Linked DNA regions of Tribolium castaneum. The protein of the gene in region 1 purifies or fractionates together with the protein of each later gene. This does not show direct contact. Links are inferred from orthologs where the notes say so. Each region holds a gene or a part of one and is shown in the gene's direction. Other genes may lie near its edges.

Region 1 (9,613 bases):
TATATCGTCTCCTCAAATTTACGACTAAATATAGTTTATTACCACCGATGGTTGCGGTTGGAGTACCTACCGAACCCAAGTGCTGGGGTTTATTGGCATGACATTTTCAAATCACGCGGCCGTAAGTCAGGAGAACGAAACATGTTTGCTTAATTACCCTAATTAGGTCGAACTTAGCCGCGTTGCTGGAACTTTCCCTCAAGACCGGATATGCGAAGCTGCTTCAGATAGCTCCTCCGATAGCAGCCACGACGATGAGGACCACGGCACTCCCAGCGTCACCTGCCGCGTCCACATCAGACAAGCTTCAGGTTTACCGCTATCACTGTCACACTACGTGTTCTGCCAATACACCTTTTGGAACCACCCTGACCCGATTGTCGTGCCCACAAACTCGGATGTTGCCACGTTCCAGTTGCCGGTTTCCAAAGACTCGACGGTGTTTAAATTCGACCATGTGAAAGATTTTGTTGTACCTGTAACCGAAGAGTTCCTCGAGCACTGCGCCGAAGGCGCCCTCTCCATAGAAGTGTGGGGCAACAGAAGTGCCGGCTTTTCCAAGCACAAACCCGGCTGGGAAGTCGAGCAACAACTCGCCACAGCCCGGTCTTTGGTCGACCGGTGGTCCGAACTGACCCGAAAAATCGAACTCTGGGTCGAAATACAAGAACTGAACGACCAGGGAGAATACGCCCCGGTTGAAGTCACCACCAAAAACGAAGTATCAGCCGGGGGGGTGTACCAGTTGCGTCAGGGACAGCAGAGACGGATCCAGGTCCGGGTTAAGCCGGTCCAGAACTCTGGAACACTACCAATCATCTGCCAGGAAATTGTCAAAATCGAAGTTGGGGGCGTGATGGTACGAAGCCGGCTCCAGAAACACCTGGACTCGTACCAAGAGGAGGACTTGACGGTTTTGAGGGAGAAGTGGAACGAGGCGCTCTTGAGGCGCCACCAGTACCTGGAGCAACAAATCAAAAAGCTGCTGGAGAAGCCGAACAAGACCGACCAGGACTGCGAACGCGAGCAGAGTTTGATGGACCAGTGGGTGAATTTAACGGAGGAACGCAATGCTGTTATTATTCCGAAGCCGGGGGCTGGGATTCCTGGTGCCCCAGCTGTGTGGAGCCCACCACCCGGCATGGAACCCTACGTCCCAGTCCTATTTTTAGATTTAAATGGTAAAATTACTGTTTTTTGTGGCCGCATTTTAATAATTGCGATTCCAGCCGATGATTTTAGCACGCACCAATCTGGGGTCGAGGTTACTGTGGCTGGTGCTAACTCAATCCTGCCTAAGGAAGTGGGTAGTACGTTTTACAGTCTACACATTTTGCACCACTTGGAGAAAGATGTGTGTGCTGTGGCCAGCTGGGACTCGTCGATTCATAACAGTTCACATTTGAATAAAATAACAGAACGTGAGTTCTGAGTTGTTGGAATTAAGTGCCACTTCTAGTTGTTCGATTTTCTAGCAATGGAGCGTGTTTATATGATTTTGCGGATTACGGTGCGGTTGTCGCACCCTGCACAGATGGATCTGGTACTCAGAAAACGTCTCTCCTTGAATATCTACAAGAGACAGAGCATTACGGACCGAATTAAACGAAAAATAGTCCGTTCGGATGTCATTACTCAGTGCGGTGTTACGTACGAGGTTGTTTCAAACGTGCCGAAAGCGAGCGAAGAGCTGGAAGATCGCGAGTCTTTAGCCCAGCTTGTGGCGTCTGGGGAAGATTCGTCTTTATCCGATGGAGAGACTTACATTGGTAATCAATTTTTTGCGTATTTCACAGGAGTAATGTTTTCTTATTAGAAAAATACACCCGTGGTGTGAGCGCTGTTGAAAGTATCTTAACGTTAGACCGTTTGAGGCAAAGTGTCGCTGTGAAAGAACTGCTTCAAGCTAAAGGCCAACCACTGATGAGGAAAACAGCAAGTGTGCCTAACTTCTCCCAGGTAACTAACCGCTTTTTCTATTTTTCAATTCTCTCTCACGTTTGTACATTCTTGCAATCAGGCTTTGGAAACAAAGAATGGGGTATGTCCTTTCCTTGGTCTTTGTGTTATTGTACTACGTTTGCTTGGTTTTTTCTAGTTCATGAGGTTAGATATGAGCACCGAGTCGCTCCATATGTCCCGCTCTGAGAGTGTGTCGGAACTGAACAGTGAACTTCACGGAGTTACGACTCCCTTGAGGCCGAGGAGCAGCTTCGGGAAGGACTCCGAAGGCACTCCTTCGAAACCCTTCGGCATAGGTAGGTCCCAAGTCAAGTTTTATTTATTCCGATTAATGAGAATAGTTTAGTTCAAATATCAATGTTTTATTTTAGAGAAATAGTTAATAGCTAGTTTTCAGAGATTTAGATTGTTTGGTGCCATTGCTGTTACGCTTTGGGGCCGTATGTTTTTACAAAACATCTAAATGTTTAACTGATAATGACGTGCTCATCACCACGCTGAGATTTTTTAATGTTAATTTTCATGTTTTCACAAAATGTGCACTGAACCCTTCTTAACTCTTTTCTACCATGGTGTTTTTATCGATGTTGGAGCTTGAGGCTCTTCCAACTTGTCAAATTTTTTGCTTGACTAATTTGGATTGAATTTTTTTCTGCAACCACAAGGCTCCATTCTTTCAGGTAAAATGGAGGCTTGCATATTGAGATTGCTATATAGGTGGATACAGATCATGACTGTTTAAAGAACCGTCTGCTTGTCTGTAACATGAGTTTTGAGATAGTTTTTCATTCGTTCCGACCGGAAACACCTAATACTCTTCACAATTGATTTGCTTGTGTTAGTTGTTTTCAATGGTCATTCATTCTAGATCCATAGTTTGTCGTAGTTCATCTCAAAACTATGTTTCTCATGTAGTGTTAGACAACCGTAGAGAACAACATATTCAGCATGTTTTGGTTATAATTTGCCATTTTAATTTAAGCTTACCTAAGCATCAGTACTATATAAACTAACGAAGTAAAGCTAAATGCTATGCTTTAATAAGAATTTGGAGAAGTAAGCGTAAAGTAACGAACTGATGAATCATTCATCTTATCAATTGTAATGAAGTCACAGAGACTTACTTAAAACAGTACTGGGTGTAAAGTTGGATCCAACCAATTGGCAAAACTGTGATACCCGTATTATTCTAAGTAAATGTATCCTTAAAACAGCATCGTGAGCATGCGTAGTTATAAAATTAGTATTGAATTAATACTAGGTAACGTCCGATATGTATAATTGGCTATATCTGCATGTTCTGTTTTTTGTTAGACTAAAACAGGTCTCTTTGACTTTAAAATGATACATGTATCATTTTAAATGTTAGTGATTGTATATATAGATAATTATTGAGGTGTGACCTGACTATAAATACCATACAAAGCAGCACGGTGTTAGACAAGTGCTTTATACAACAACTAATTTATTGTATATTTCAGCTCGGCCGACTTTCTTAAATCTCAGCTTAAATCTGAACTCTTTACGGTTACAACAACCTACAGGAAGTTCAAAACGTATGTCGTCATACTCCTACATTTCGCCTTTTGTTTCTTATTTTTTGTTGATTTTAGCATGTTGTTTTTTTGTGTTCGTTACCACTGTCTTGTTCTTGTCTAACCGATAAAATTCCAGTGTTCCCCGGTATTACTTCACCTGCTAATACCAAGTTGGGCTTGAGAATGACCACTCTTCACGAGGAACAGCCTTCGTTGCCTAGAAAACATTCCTTGGATATTCTGAGTGATGACACAATTGAAGAGCAGTGTGAAGAGGGTCATGACGAAAAACACGAAGTTACTGTAAGTGTGTTTTTGGTTTAGATACAGTCAAGTCAGTCGATACTTGCAGTATAACGTGAGGAGTAGAACCAACGGACGACGAACAATTCCCACTTCACGAACTCTCGACTCCCTTGTCGAACTCGCTCCCAAGTCTAGCACACCTTCTACGACTTCAAGTGGCTACGGTTCTCAAGCAGTTTCGTCAACAAACTTATCAAGCGACGATTCGATGTCTTTGCGAAGCATCAGTGTTGACGAAACACCAGATTTGGAAGCGAAGCCAGTTTCCAATGACCTGCAACCGGTTTCGGAAGCAACTGATAGTTCGAGCGAAACTTATCAAGTACTGTCGGTAATTACTGGATTCGCCGATATTTGATTACGTGTTTCAGGAAAGCAATTACGGTGGCGAAAGCAATGAAAATGCCGACGATTTCGTCGCCAATGGCGTTGACAATCATTCCGATAATAACCAAGACAGACCTCCATGTGACAACGAAGGAAGCTCAGTAATCAAAACAAACCTATCACCCGGAAAAGTCGTACGACGAAAAAAATCATCAAAAACGCAACACTCGCAGCGAGCGTCATTCCCACAAATACGGCCACAATTATCAGAAAGTAAAGTTGCTCAAAACTACGAACAAAGTCTAATCCACACGAATTTAATACACGATGACGAAGGATTAGACAGTTCGACTGACCGATTAGAAGGTTGTCGACCACACCGTTGTTTCAGTTTCTAACTGTGTGTTTGCAGACGACTCCGAAAACAATTTCGGATCGAAGCCTGACTTGACCAAGTTGTCAGATGTTCCCGTCCCAGAGTGGGTCATACTGGGCGAAAGTGTTCTTATAAGACCGTACAATTCGTCAGGTGTCGTCGCCTACATTGGCGGCACCGAGTTCGCCTCTGGCACCTGGATTGGCGTCGAGCTCGACGCCCCCAAGGGCAAAAACGACGGAAGTGTGCAAGGAGTGCGCTATTTCAGCTGCCGGCCCAAGTACGGCATGTTCGTACGCGCTGATAAGCTGATATTGGACCGACGGGGCCGCGCAATGCGGGCCTACAAGGCCGATTCTCTTGCCAATAACAATAAGTGTGCGAGTGGAAAAGGTAAATGATTTGGTTTCGATTGTTGGTAGTCATGGGTGTCTTGCAGGCGACGGCGGCCTTCCCCGGTCGCGATCGCGCGGCGAAGGCCTGAACAGCGTGGGGACGCGGCCCAGTTCTAAAGCCAAATAGGCACAATAACTAGTCCCCTCCAATAATCCACCCGATTTTATGTATTATTGTGTGTTGAAACACATTCCATGTGTGTAGCTGTGCCGTCCATTTACGTGGCATAGAAACTTCCTAGGTTTGGTTTTGGTCTTTTGCTTTGCATTGCTGTTTGGTTGCACGACTTGACTTGGCCAACTGACTAAGCGACTACCTCTCATTCCTACCGGCAATCGTGTAAATTGGTAGTTTTACATGTGCCGTAGCTTTGGTATAACACAGTGGCACATATCAAATCAATGGGGAAATCGTTTTAATCTTGTCAAAATAATCCAGTATTATCGGCTCTTCACGTTATTTCTGGAATAATGGGGGCGAGAGCTTTCGTACCTTGATAGTTGAACGGGTTATTTGAGGATTAAATAAATTCTTTGTGTTTGTTTTTATTTTTTACGATTTTTCTTGGTTTTTATATTTTAAGAATTTCTTTCTGTGATAATTGCTGTTAGTTTCCACAGAAGCCCTGGAGTCTACTGGCTGAAGAGGGTATAGGTTTTGCGTGCTGTATAATTGAACAGATATAGTACATAAATATATAATTGTAATAGAATGTAGTTTACATAAAGTATTTAAACAATTCTGTGTGTTTGTAGAACATATAGTGATAAGATATGATGATAGGTCTGTAGTGATGATTTTTGCTATTGTTTCGTCACGAGTAAGACTGCATTCAGTTTGTCACCTGCAACGTTTTACATTCCATTTTTGAAATATATGATTATGTAAATTAATACGCAATGTTATCTAGTCTTTACTGTTTGTTTGTTGCTCAGTGATTATGTTAATCACCCATTTGATTCGGGTTTAGTCGTCCAGCCGATATTGGCTTCGGCAAAATAAATACTAGACCTGCACCTGTCCAATTTGAACCGTTCTGTCCAATTTGGGATAATATTTATGTAAAACTATATACCTGATGATGTAAATTACTAGAAATTCACGCTTCTTCGGTATATTTATTTGCATTCAACACGTTACTATGAGTGTCACTCTATGTTAGTCATTGAACATAACTGTAATATAGTTCCCTTGTATTTATATGTTCATCAAACAGCAACTATAGGTACTTACACCGGCTCGTTTAGTCTAACAATGCGGATGCATTCCGGACGCCCATAGCTACACAGTTGAGGCCAGAGTTCTAGCCACATGTACATTTTCAAATGTAAATATCGATCATTTTAATATCTGTCATTAATAAGATGTAGGACGCTTTTATTGTTACGTCATTGCTCTACTGGGTTTTGTTATTTATTTGGATGTAAGCAGCAAACTGTAATTTTATAGTTACAATATTTTACATACATTTTGTGTACATTTTTGTTGTCTATTGTGTACATCTTTAAATTATTTTAACGCGACATTTTGTAATAGTTTTAAAGTTTATTTGTAGCTGTGGTTCTACAAGCAATTTCAATAAATACATATTAAAAACACGAAGTTTTCTTTATTAACACTAATATAAGTACATAAAACTCCTTGACTAACAAATACATTTACAACCTTGTCGCTTTTTGGCACTCTCGAAATACATATACTCCTGCAAACAACCAAATCGGTGAAAATTCACAACAATACGAGATCTTACTAGAAGGAAGGCAGCTCCAAGGAGCAGTGCTTTGTGTCGGGTGTTGTTTTCCTGCCCCGGCATTTGCATGAACAAATTGTAAGCGACCTGGACTTGGTCCCACTGATGGATGATGCTTCCAATTTGCGTCATTCCGTCGCTGGTGAAGATCTGAAAGTTGTGGTTTTTGCTCCACATGCACCCGAACGCAGACTCCGGTCCCTCAATCCTGTAGATAATATCCATCTGTTTGTTGTAAATCACAAAGCAGGGTTTAGTCGCATTAAATTTTTGCTTGACTTTCCCCACATACTCTCCGGGTGGAATCCAAACTTCAAGTTCCTGAAAAAATTCATTAAGCCAAGCGTTTTTTTGATCTAGTCCCGACCTGTAAATAGAGGAAAATCGAGCAGCAGGAGCCACAAGCCAGCCGCCTCCTGAACTGTATAGCTTCTTGTTGGGTCGGGTCGTAAAGTCTCATTGCGAAAGCTCGACTTGATCCGAAACAAGTTCGCTGAAATGAAGTCGAGCTTTCGGTCGCATAGTAAATCGTTTCGCCTCTTGGCACTTTAACTGTGTAGCGATTCTCCGACTCGAGACTTGCCATCACTGGAAGAGGTTTCGGAGCAAAAGGGTCAACTACCAAGCATATATTTACGGTCTGTTAGTTCAACAGTTTGCTGAATTATGATTTGGTGCACGTCTTTCAAAAAATCCAAGCCGTGGAGAGGCGAAAAGTGGGACGTCATCGAAGTTTGCCAGTCGATTGTGGAGACTGGAATCGGCCGTCTTGTTCCTTGGTCCAGTCGTTCTGGAAATAACGGTTGGTTTCGTTCGTGGTGCGCAAAACTCACCTTGCTCGCGGGTTAATGACGGCGGCTCGGAAACAACAGGGGACGACCCTTCTGAAAAAACTGGCATGCTAATTTCTGAAAATTTAATTGTTTTGTATGGTTTGTATGAATTGCTTGATAACGCAATTAAAGTGAAATTGACTACGACTTTCGAAACTTACCCTCAACGGCCGGGTCATTTTCGCCCGTTGGAAACATGTTTTTTGAATTCTTTTGTGGCTTTTAGACGTACGTGGAGGTGTTTTGTGGTGCAATGTCGATATGAGTTTTATCTAATCTGGCATTGTTTTAGAGAGGATTTGGTCGTTTGTTAGGTGAGATAAGAAAAATCTGATTCAACATCAAATAAAATTGTCTATTTTACCATTAAAATATATTGAAACCGTTAATACAGTAGCACAGTCCTTTTGTCTAAGCAAGATCGATGGTCTTGATGCGGCGATTTCAAACGTGGGTTTGATGCGGAAATCGCCCTGTCAAAAATTTCTTAATTTAATCAGATATTTGGGATTATTGTCACGATCGTTCCAGGGCACTAATGAAATCGCCGTATCGACTCCAGTCAACTGCTCATAATAAAATCACGTTCAACGCATCCCTGTCACTAAAAAATTTAGATACAACAATGAGAATTTAAACCTGTACAGTAATGAAGTTGGAATTTATTACTTTGAACGTGTTTTAGAATGTGTAAAGATAAATCGCTGTATATTTCGAATAAACAAATAGAATATAAATATTTAACAACGAACTTCAGTGTTAATGTCATTTCTGAAGCAACATTTACTATGTGTACATTTAATAAGTTACAATGATAATACACCCATTGAAATAAATCAAGGCTGTCGTAAATATCGATACAATTTAGATGGCGTCGAGAGAAATCAAGGGCTTGACCCTTCCGGACATCGATCGTTCCTAGTTTATCGTCTGTCGGGACAGGCGAGCTCGCACTCCCCCAGCGGTTCCAGTCTTAACGAACGGTTAACATCGAGCAAATACCGGACCGACTTTTGCGCCTCCTTCTGGCACTCCTGCTTGCCATCGCACAGCTCGAACGCCTTGCTCAGGAACAGGACGTTGCATTGGCGAGTCGGGGCGAACCAGCTGTTATTAGTCTGCAAAAAAATCAATCAAAACCCACCACAAGCACCCAACTTACGCAAAGGAGACACATCTGGTGCATGTTGCACGCCGTCTCGAAGACCCTAGCATAGTGGCCCAGGACCGTGGCCACCTCATTGCACGCCCGCTGCACCTTGGGACACTCCTCTGCAAGGCAAACATTAACAAAGGCACACTCCGCCTGACTGTTTACCGAAAACTGTTTGCTCCAAGACCTCGGAAGGCGCCCGGTAATTCTGCTCCTCGCAGTCCTCGTCGCCTTGGGAGCACTTGATGGTATTGTCCCCTTCTGGAGTCTTCTCCCGCTCTTCGTCAACGGCCTGTTTCCGCGGCACTGCCACTCTTTTTTCCTCCGAAATGTCGTAGTCGTCGCTTTTGTGCTGCTTCAACCGCTCCTTTTCCTTCTCGACGCTGAGTTTGTACTCGCCTAAGGCCCGGCGCATCTTTTCCAAGCTGTAGGCGGCCGCTAGCCGCGAGATAACACGGTCCTTCACCTCCTGGATCTCCTGGGAGTCGGTGGCGCCTTCGTGGGCACCGGTGAATTTAAGCGCGTCGTCGATGATCGTGTCCTCCATGTTCTTCAATTTCGCGTCCATTTCGGACAGTTTCAGTTCTTCGGATTTGTTCTTCTTGTCGGACTCCTTTTTGCTGGGCTGGTCGTGGTTTTTGAACGACTGGAGCGGGTATTCGGCGTTGCGCTTGGTGGCCAAGGCGATGGCTTTGTGGTACCGCTCCAGCAACCACTGCTTGTCGAGTTCGTCGTCGGATTTCTTGCGCCGGTCCAGGCCGAAGTAATCGGACCAGTTGATCGATTTCTTCTGGATTTGGAGGGGCTTATCGCTGGGGGCGTCGGCCACTTCTTCTTTGGACGCGCTCGCTTTTTTGGAGGATTTCATCTTGGGTTTCGTCTCTTTTGCTAGTTCTTTTTTGGCGGTTTTGGACTTTTCCGGCTTGGGGGTTGTGACGGTGCCGAAGATGTTGCTCAAGTCTTGGGCGACTT
Region 2 (9,613 bases), on another chromosome or scaffold:
TTGAATTAGGACGGAAATTTAGGTGCTAATGGGAAAATTGGGGTAAAACGGAAAAAATATAACTGTTGATTTGAAGTATACAAGCATACTTCTAATTTAACGATGTTCTACTTCGTTTCAGTAAATTCGTTTGAAAAATAAGTCTAAAGCGTTCGTATGTCAGTGTTATTCTTTTATAACAATACATTTCTAATTTATTAAGTTTATCATCCATTTCGGACTTCTATTTTTATTTATAGCTTTTTGACTCTTTGTTCAAATATTTCTGCTTTCTCCGACTCAGTCTTTCACTGAAATATGTTCATAAATTTAGATATAAACATAATAATGCATTCGACATGCTTTGTTTGATGCTTTGTTTTGGTAAAATAGTTCGAATTTAGTAAGTCTCTGAAAATGTTTCTAAACTCACAGAAAATTTCAAATAATTTCTCTACGATTTTCTTCATAAATTTTTAAATATCTTACTGAAGAATAAGATCTTACATTTTGGGAAAGTAGTACATTTTTGTTAATTTTGTAAGTTTATCGGTGAAATATGTTTCGAAATAGATAGAAAGTTCTGCTTTAGTATTTCTGCTTTTTTTCGGTGAAAATGTTCCTAAATTAGGAAACAATAATGCATTCGATATGGATTTTCTACTTTGTTTTGGCAAAATACTTTGTATTTTGTAAGTTATTGAAGATGACAATTTCAGCTGTTTAAGCTTGAAAAATTAGATTCTGTCGGAAGAAGCAAATATGAAGAATTTTTCAATGTTTTAACAGAATCTTTCAAGTTTAGTGAATTTCTGGCTTTGAGCTTTCATTTCCAACTTCACAGAAAATAACACTTTTTAGATTTGATTTAACGATTTTACACTTTGCTTTGATTTAAAAATTATTCTCTTTAAGATGTTACCATATTTTAAAAAAATATCTTATTTCAGACTTTTTTTTATTTTGATTGACAGAACCTTTGGATTCAGTGGATTTCTTGCTATGAAAATGCTCTAGGTCAATAAATAAAAGCTCAAAAAACACTTTTCGGACCAATATTTTGTTTATTTTCATTGGAAAATGTTTCTAAATTGACAAAATAAATAATGCAATCGATTTTTTGGTTGGTTGGTTGGCAAAATACGTCGAATTTATTAGTAAGATTTGAAATCACATAAAGTTAGATCTAATTTACTAATAATTTTCCACATTGTTTTAGCAAATGAAAAATGAGGTCATAAATTTATGAAAAGTAATATATATTTCTGTTAATTTACGGGTACATATAAATATGCAGCTTCGTTTTGTACTTTAGAAACGAGAGGTGAATTTGCCATCGAAAAATGCTCTAAAAATTGATTAAAACAATCGCACCATTTGGTTTTATTTTGGAATTTTGTTCTAACCTAGCGAATTTTTCAAATTATTCAAAAAAAATCTCCATAAAAACAACAATCTTTAATTTAGTTCCTTAATCAGAAAAACCTACAAAGAGAAGCCGTTAGCTCCTGATTAAAGCGTTTATTAGCTTGAGTTTTAGACTGTTAATTGTTTGAGATCACAAAGTGAATTAAGTAATTTGTGATTTTTCAGTGCGTGCGACGCCGGCGACAACCTCGCAACATGAGACTGATGGAGATCGAGTTGGTAAAAGGCAACAAAGGTCTCGGCTTTAGCATTGCCGGTGGCATTGGCAATCAGCACATCCCCGGTGATAACGGCATTTATGTCACTAAAGTGATGGAGGGTGGTGCTGCTCAAGTGGATGGTCGTCTCCTTGTTGGCGATAAACTCGTCGCAGTCAGGGACGCTGTCGTAAGTATCCTCTTATCCAGACGTTTCGTCGACTGAACGTTGCAAAATCTCAATCGAGAGACACTTCAACATTTACGACGAGAGAATTTACGTTTATACAGCAACAAGTTTTTAAACGATTTCTTGTTTTATGTGATGGGAAAGAAGGCGCATTTTTCAAATTATTGCAGTCGCGACTTTAATTAAATTCGGTTTCCACTTTTTGGGGTCGTTATTAAAGTGTTAAGTAACGTACACATTTCTCATTTTCTCTTAGTTTTACGTTCCGTACGTAATATTTTATGATGCGCTGTCGTCAGCCCGTTATTTTACGTTTACAATTTCCATGTTCTTTTGACTACGGGGCTTTTCATTATTCTGGGAAAATACACGACGACAAACGTGTCTTCGCCGAACGAACTTCCGTTCAGCGTTAGTAAAAGAAGCGAGTTTTCTTTTAGAGGAAAATAGTTGAGGTATTTTTGCCTATCAGGGATGTTTTTTATATACGAACTGATAGTGCTATTGATTTTCAAAAGGAGCACGAAATGGAAATATTGCCGTAATATCCTTTTTCATATTTCTCTTTTCTACTGTTTCTAATAACGCGTGATCTCTTCAACAATGTGGATTTTTCCTGATACTGTTTTTATTCGTAGCCGGAGGCCCTGCATGCAAACACTATTATTAAGGTCGATTCATATCAATTAGCAACGTAAAACAGATTCAGCGAGTTACAAAAACAAATTTTAGAATGCATCAATAACTTTCAGTTATTTTATTGAGTTTAGGATTTCCATTGTGATATTTTATTCACAAAAGTCACCACGCAATGTTTCTCTTCTATAATCTCCAATGAATGTGGTCGTCTTTTGAAATTTGCAGCGGAACGGCAATGGCATTGCCCTGTGACAGCTCGGCGTATTATTAAAAATGCACGAAACAATTTGCAAAACAACACAACATGTGCACGCTGGGTTTATTTGCATTTCACGCTTTTTAAAATGTGGAATTTATTACGAGAAGGGTGTTAAAATTTCATATTTCGGCGATAAACCAATTCAATTTTCGCTAATCGAAATTTGTAAATTTTCATCATAAATACGGCCCGAGATGATTTGTTATATTCCGGGGCGGATTTTCCCGAATTTAAGACGAGTTGTGAATGAAAAACCGCCGCTCGTGAAAGTTGCATAGCTCAACTTCCTCATCCGCTCTTCCGTCGCATCTGGCAAGGCGCACTCGGATTTTCTAATTTAATGATCCACCTGTGCTGTTGTGACGAAAAGGATGCGTTTTGGGACCCTATTCTCCCTAACTTGTAGGAAAATTTTCCACCAATTTGTTCTCATGTCAAAATTCCCATACAGTACTCTGTATCCTTGTCGGGACTTTTTTTAATGGGAACATATTTGAAACGTGTTCTTATGAATTTGTACAATTGATTGATGTTGTCAATAACAAAAGAATTTTTTTATTATTATATAAATAGTGCTCACTGACCACGAATTAAAAACGTCATAACGTTGCATTGCAGTTAAATTAAATTATAAAGGAAATTAATTTATAAAATCGGTACATTTTAGAAATGTGCTCACAATCCGTAAAACAAGTATGTTTAAACAACAAAAAGTCGAGCTAATGCAACACATGGAGTCAAATGACTGTATGAATAAATCGTTATTTACTTCTACTTTTACATTTAGAGATGTTTATAAAAATGGGGAAGACGTAATGCGGCAATTGCGGTTTTAAAAATTTTTCGTAGCAGTTAAACAGAAAAAATAAACAAAGTAAAAACAACACAAACTACAAGATTATAAAAAAGGAATACTAATTAATCGAACCTAAAACTTATTAACAAAAATTCTATTGATCAGGCCGTTAACAATATTCTTACAGAAGTTTTTGAGAACAACTATTTTGTTTTTCCGTGTAAAAAAGGCTTATAAAAGATATTTCATTCTCACCGCCTCTGCGAGCAACCAAATAAAAATTAGCCAACTAATTCCACTGAAAGCGCCACCAGGTCCAAAGAAAAGAAAGCACGTATTTCACATAAAATAACGCCAGTTCTTCCGACATAATTACATAATCAAATTTTCTTTCGCTCGTTCTCCTCTATCGGTGTCTGCAACAATTGCCTTTTTCTCCTTTTAATTAAACGTTTCACGTTGTTTTTCAGAAAGGCGAAGTTAACCTGGAGAATGTCACCCATGAGGACGCCGTCACTACGCTCAAAACAACGCAGGACAGGGTTGTGCTCGTCGTCGCCAAACCAGACAGTGCCTTTAATGCTCCCGCATCTGATACTTCCTACTCGCCGCAATTGTGTAAGTTAGAAATATATAACTGTTTCTGACGCGATCTCATAATTCAAACGTCAGGTTTTACCTTAAAGCCCAGGAGCAGTTATCCATTCATAATTTTATTAAATTACTGTAGAAGGGTTGGTCGCTTCGCGGCGACATTAACAATAGCCGCTTCTAAATGCGGCTAAAGACCATTATCTTGTGTGACGCTGCAAATAACAATAAATCTGTCTCGCGAGAAAATTACGAGGTTTTTCTTTGCGTAAAACGGAAAAAAGCGCTGCGGGTATAACTGGTTGCCTATGGACGATATTCAGGAAAATCATTTCATGAAACGTTGCAGAAACACGAGCTTTTAAAAATAAAACAAGGTTTGCAAATCAATAATGAATTTATTTACTTACCGTGTTGTTTGAAATTAGATCGAGACTCTTTTTTATTGTGTCAAGACGCTGTTATATGACTCAAATCTTATTTAATATTATTAAAGTGTAATAATAATAAGGTTTTTGTTTATCTCGCGCGCAATTAAACTATGGATAAGAAAATAAATTATTGAAAACTAGTGAATTGGGTGCAAACTCGAGTTTATTTTGTAGGTACTGTTTAGCATGTCGTACACTACGCAAAAAAAAATCCAGCACCGTTTGCTTTGGTTTTACTACTTCTAATTTTTTCTATATTTTCACAATATTTTTTACATTTCCTGAGCGGAATAAAGATTTAAAAAAAAATTGTGTTGGTAAAATAATACCTACAGTAGAATTTCACTTGAATGGACCATCAAAATTTGTCTGTTCAAAGAGCGGTAGGAGTATCAAGAGAAAACTGCAAATTTAAATCAGCAATTTATGTGCGAATACGATTTTTCAATTAATAAAAATAATATCAACAAAGAATTTAATTGGTTTAATCTCATAACAATAAATATAAATAAATATCTACAAACAAAATGAAATTCAAATCGGTATTATGTACTCGTATTAACATAATTCAAGGGTGAAAAACTTTTTTTTATTTAGGTTTAGGTTAATTAAAATGCTACTTTTTTACTAGCCCTTTGCGTTATATCACAAGTTTGCATGGTTTTTTTTTTTCATATAAAATTGTTTCGATTTTCACATACTTAAGTTCTGTCCATCTCTAAGTTCAATACACGTAGACGCATTAACCGAAAATACAATAAAAAAACTGTTAAAGTCAGATATTTTGTACTTTGGACAATTTAGAGAATCTCTTTACGAGGTATCTAATTATGTTAATCAATTGATCAGTCGGGAGAGACGTTCAAAATTTATAAAGAAAAATAATAATAGTAATAATAATAATCATTACTTTTCTGGCTCGATAAAGAGCTAAAAAGCTTAAAAAAATACCATTTTTGTTCCAATTTACTGATTTTTCTTTCCGGTATAACAAAATCTCGCAAAGAAACTGATTTGTTATTTCAAATGCGTGTTCAGCGCTCGAAAAATGCTAGATTTATACCATCTTCAATCCAATTCAATGATTTTTTTGGTATTTTTGAATAAATTGTGAGTGAAATATTAATTGTCTGACTGAAAATAATGTACTTACATGATCGCTTGTAAAAAGCAAAATTGACAACATTTTCGATCCAATTATCCAATTCAGCGGTTTTTCGATATTTTTATCAAGACAATGTTATTTTTGTAATTTGCTAATTAGCTCAAAAACTCTCCGAAAAAGTCAAAAATATTATTTTTTGTATAATTTTTGACGAAATTTTGCCGTTTCGGTTGAAAAACATTTTAATGTCAGAGCTTATTGATTTTTTTAGCCTGGTTTTCAAATCGAAAACGTCTTTATTTATTTGCCGACCTAATACGAAATAAGATGGAGATTTTTTCATTGTATAAGAGCGCCGTTGAATGACACTCAAATCTAACTTAATTCTCTCAGAATGGTGGGTTATTGTTTATGGATCAAGTGAAAAATAATTGAAAATTGTTCCAGCTACGAAGGCATCAAACGCGTACCCCGAGTCGATTCACTCATCAAACCTCGCACTTCACCATCCACCCTCAACACCAAGGGCTGTCAGCCAGGAGGATGTATCTCGGTAAGTTCAAACCCGGCGTAATCCCCAGGCTTCGAGTATATTTTATACCCTCTCTGTGAAGTTGGCAAATTAATTATTTAACAGGGCGGTAACGGAATTTCTCCTCAAATATTTCGAGGTGAATTTACTAATTAATTCAATAATTAAAACTTTTCGTCTGGAAATAATGACAAATTTCGCTGCGTGTTATTTTGTTTGACCGCTTGTTACAAAGAGTTTAATCATTTGTCAGGCCTAATTATTATTGTTTCATAATAATAACGGATCCGCTTAGTGAATTTGTTTTTATTGCGAAGCGCTCCATTGAAATCCATTGATTTGTCGTCATGCGGTGCCCGATGTCCATAAATTACCACTAAAATGGATGTTTTAATAAAGCCTCTGTGGCAAAAATGCGCATTAATAATGAATAATTGTTACCATGAATTTAACACAACGCCGGATTAGCATTTAGCAAAAAATGCATCTGCAACCAGAGACCATTTTTCCAAATTTAGAAAGTTTGAGCGCTAGCTCCAACTAAAAATTCGATTAAAGTCACTTTGTTAAAATTCCTCATTAATAAGGAAGTTTGCAGCCACTTCAAAGGCGACTGAATTGAAAGTAAAAGGAAAAAGTTGCCACAATTGAATACAACAAGTTAATTCGTGGAGAAAAAACCGTCACTGCATCACTCACTCATTCATGAACTTTAACTTCCTTGCCGATAGAATGGTAATGAGTTGACAACTACCTTGGCGCTGAGACACATTTCGACGAATTAACTTATGCTAAACGATCATTAACAATTTTTTAACGGGAGAGTTCTCAGTCAATTTGCTTGCAACTAGCGTTGCATTCCTACACGTTTTTTCGATTCTTCTTCCACAATGGCTTGAAGATTCATGAGTTGGTGCTTGACATTCAAAGTTAGTGGATGTTTTATGTGGGATTTGTAATCGGTTTTAACATGATCAGGTTAGTTGCTTTAATTTAATTTCGTTCTCAAATGTTGCTAATTTTAACTAAAATACCACATATACTACTTATCAAAAAAAGCGGAACACCCAGAAATAATGCGTTGAATTTAATGAAATTAAAAATATAAAATGGTGGTAAAGTAAACAATAAATGATGAAAAAAGTGTAATTGAAAAATAAAAATTTTAACAAAAAAAACTTAATAATGGGTTGGCCCTCCACGTGCATGTATACACTCTGCAACCCTCCGTGGCATACTTCGAATTAAATGATTAATTTCGTCTTGGGGCAGGGCCTCCCAAGCAGTCAAAATTTCTCGTCGCAGGTCCGCTAGCGTTTGTGGAGGCTGGGGTAAATTCGTCACTCGCCGACCTATTGAATCCCATATGTGCTCGATCGGCGAGAGGTCAGGCGATCGAGGCGGCCAAGGAAGAACTTGCACCTGAACTTCTTCTAAGTACCTCAACGTAAAGCGTGCTGAGTGTGGCGTGGCGTTATCCTGTTGAAACGACGCGTTTTCAATAGTTTGCACATATGGTACTGCGACAGGTTCCAGAACCTCCTGTACGTAGCGCTGGGCAGTCATGGATCCCTCAATAAAAACAAGGGGTGACCTACTACCATAGGCTATCGCGCCCCAAATCATGACACCCACAGTTCGAGCTACAGGGCGTTCCACAGAAAAGGCTACGTTTCGCCGTTCCCCACGTACCCTTCTAACTCTTTGTCGACCATCATGCATGCCCAAACAAAACCGCGATTCATCCGAAAAGACCACCGAATTCCATTCTAGATCCCAATTCTCTCGCGCGCGACACCAGTCAAGTCGATGTTGTCGTTGTTGAGGAGTTAAGGGGAGCACCAAATGCGGACGATAAGAGTGAAGCCCGAAAGATCTGATTCGTCTATATACAGTTGCCATTGTAACTGGTCGACCCTCTGCAGCATACCACTGGTCACCAATCCGCCGTGTGGAGACATGCCGGTCTCGAAAGGCTAAAAAGTGGAGGTACCGATCCTGGCGTGCGGTAGTACCTCGTGGCCGTCCAGAACCTCTCGCTCGATGTTCTCTCCCTTCTTCCTCCCATGCCCGTATACATCGCAGGACAGTAGCCACTCCACGATTCACACGAGCTGCAATTTCCCGAACCGACATGCCACCTTCACGTAGCCCGACAATTCGCCCCCGCTCAAAAGGGGTTAACTGCTGGTAACGTGGTTGTCTTCGTACGGGAGGCATACTGTTAGTGCCCAATATACACAGAAAACAAAGTTTTCCATAGTTATCGCCAACAGAAAAAGCATATCAGTGAACCCCAGAAAGACTAGAAAAACCTTCTTAAAGGGGTTGTTTTTTGAGGAATGGCTAAGAAACTGTTATCAATTTATTTTTGAGTGGGTAACAACATTTTCACAAAGTTTCAGTTCTTTACCTACACAATTTCCATGTGTTCCGCTTTTTTTGATAACTAGTATATTTTAATTAACCACTCATTAGTGGGGCTTCTCACGACCCGCATTCAAATCAATTAGTTTATACGGTAATAAAATACTCATTATACGGTTTCACATCAAATTTATGATTATTCGCTGAATTCTCTCCAAATCGCAAAATTGTATTTACCCATTTTTTTTCCTTGCTTTTTATACAGCAATCGGGACGTATTTATTTATTTGCAATTATGTATTTCTTGTTTATGTTTCGTTTTTTGACAAACAAGGTTTGGTCATTGTAAACAACGAGTTATTGACTCTGAGTACGGGTATCTAGAAGTTAGGATATGAAACAACGTAAAAATAAATCTTTATCTTCAACCATTTAGGCCCCAAAGCTGTTCAATGACACTCAATGATGGATTTACTTAATTTTGCCGGTAAATTTTAACGAATCCGTCGCTTCAACCACTTTGAACGTTCTTAGGGCCTAAACCATTGACAATTGACATATGGTCTAGAGGACTTTTTTAAAGGAAATTTTATTCTCTACAAATTTCTCCCTAACATTTTTTGTATCTTTAATGGTATTTGCAGCATTTCCAAAAATACGACACGAAGTGCAGATTTTGACTTCTAAATAATTTTTTCTCATGTTATAAAAAGTTTACTCGTCAGTTTTTCTCAGTCTGTAAAGGACATTTTTCCAAAAATTAAAACGATTAGGCACTGAGACGGTATAACGCTTGGTGCGCCCTCATTTTTACCCTGTCGTGCTATTGCTTTGGGTTCAGAAAATCTCGTTTTTCGTATCTCGTTTCGTCTCCTAAGTTATAGTCTTCCGTAACTGTGACTAAAAGTAAGTCTTTTTCCTCTATTCTAATTCTTAATCCGAATATAATATTTAAATAATATTTAAATGGTTTATGTAAGTGATTTAAACAAGTTGAAAGTAAGTCATTTCGTGCGAATTTTAGCTAGCTGGTGTTATTAATTATCAGGTCGGGAAAGTGTCAATAAATACATAAAACTTTTGAAATTGTTTCTGCTAT

What was found.
Region 2: the proteins of Khc-73 (region 1) and dlg1 purify together in Drosophila melanogaster (affinity purification with western blotting; 3 studies listed by BioGRID). This does not show direct contact. The link is inferred for Tribolium castaneum from reciprocal best matches to the Drosophila melanogaster genes Khc-73 and dlg1.

What each region holds. Positions count from the first base shown.
Region 1 is NC_087403.1:4,108,869-4,118,481, forward strand, and holds the end of Khc-73 (kinesin-like protein KIF13A), read left to right. Parts: intron 1-166; coding exon 167-1,181; intron 1,182-1,229; coding exon 1,230-1,421; intron 1,422-1,475; coding exon 1,476-1,769; intron 1,770-1,816; coding exon 1,817-1,959; intron 1,960-2,020; coding exon 2,021-2,041; intron 2,042-2,098; coding exon 2,099-2,258; intron 2,259-2,627; coding exon 2,628-2,642; intron 2,643-3,443; coding exon 3,444-3,518; intron 3,519-3,636; coding exon 3,637-3,803; intron 3,804-3,852; coding exon 3,853-4,128; intron 4,129-4,177; coding exon 4,178-4,499; intron 4,500-4,545; coding exon 4,546-4,902; intron 4,903-4,948; coding exon 4,949-5,031; 3' UTR 5,032-6,503; downstream 6,504-9,613. Other genes in the region: phospholipid scramblase 1, read right to left, coding at 6,551-6,607, 6,656-6,976, 7,023-7,243, 7,293-7,445, 7,489-7,563, 7,650-7,686; uncharacterized protein LOC103313041, read right to left, coding at 8,412-8,606, 8,651-8,760, 8,807-9,613.
Region 2 is NC_087397.1:8,308,215-8,317,827, reverse strand, and holds part of dlg1 (disks large 1 tumor suppressor protein), read left to right. Parts: intron 1-1,572; coding exon 1,573-1,794; intron 1,795-3,958; coding exon 3,959-4,106; intron 4,107-6,062; coding exon 6,063-6,168; intron 6,169-9,613. UniProt on the Drosophila melanogaster protein: During embryonic development, some isoforms are essential for proper neuronal differentiation and organization. Required for cell polarity; maintenance of apicobasal polarity.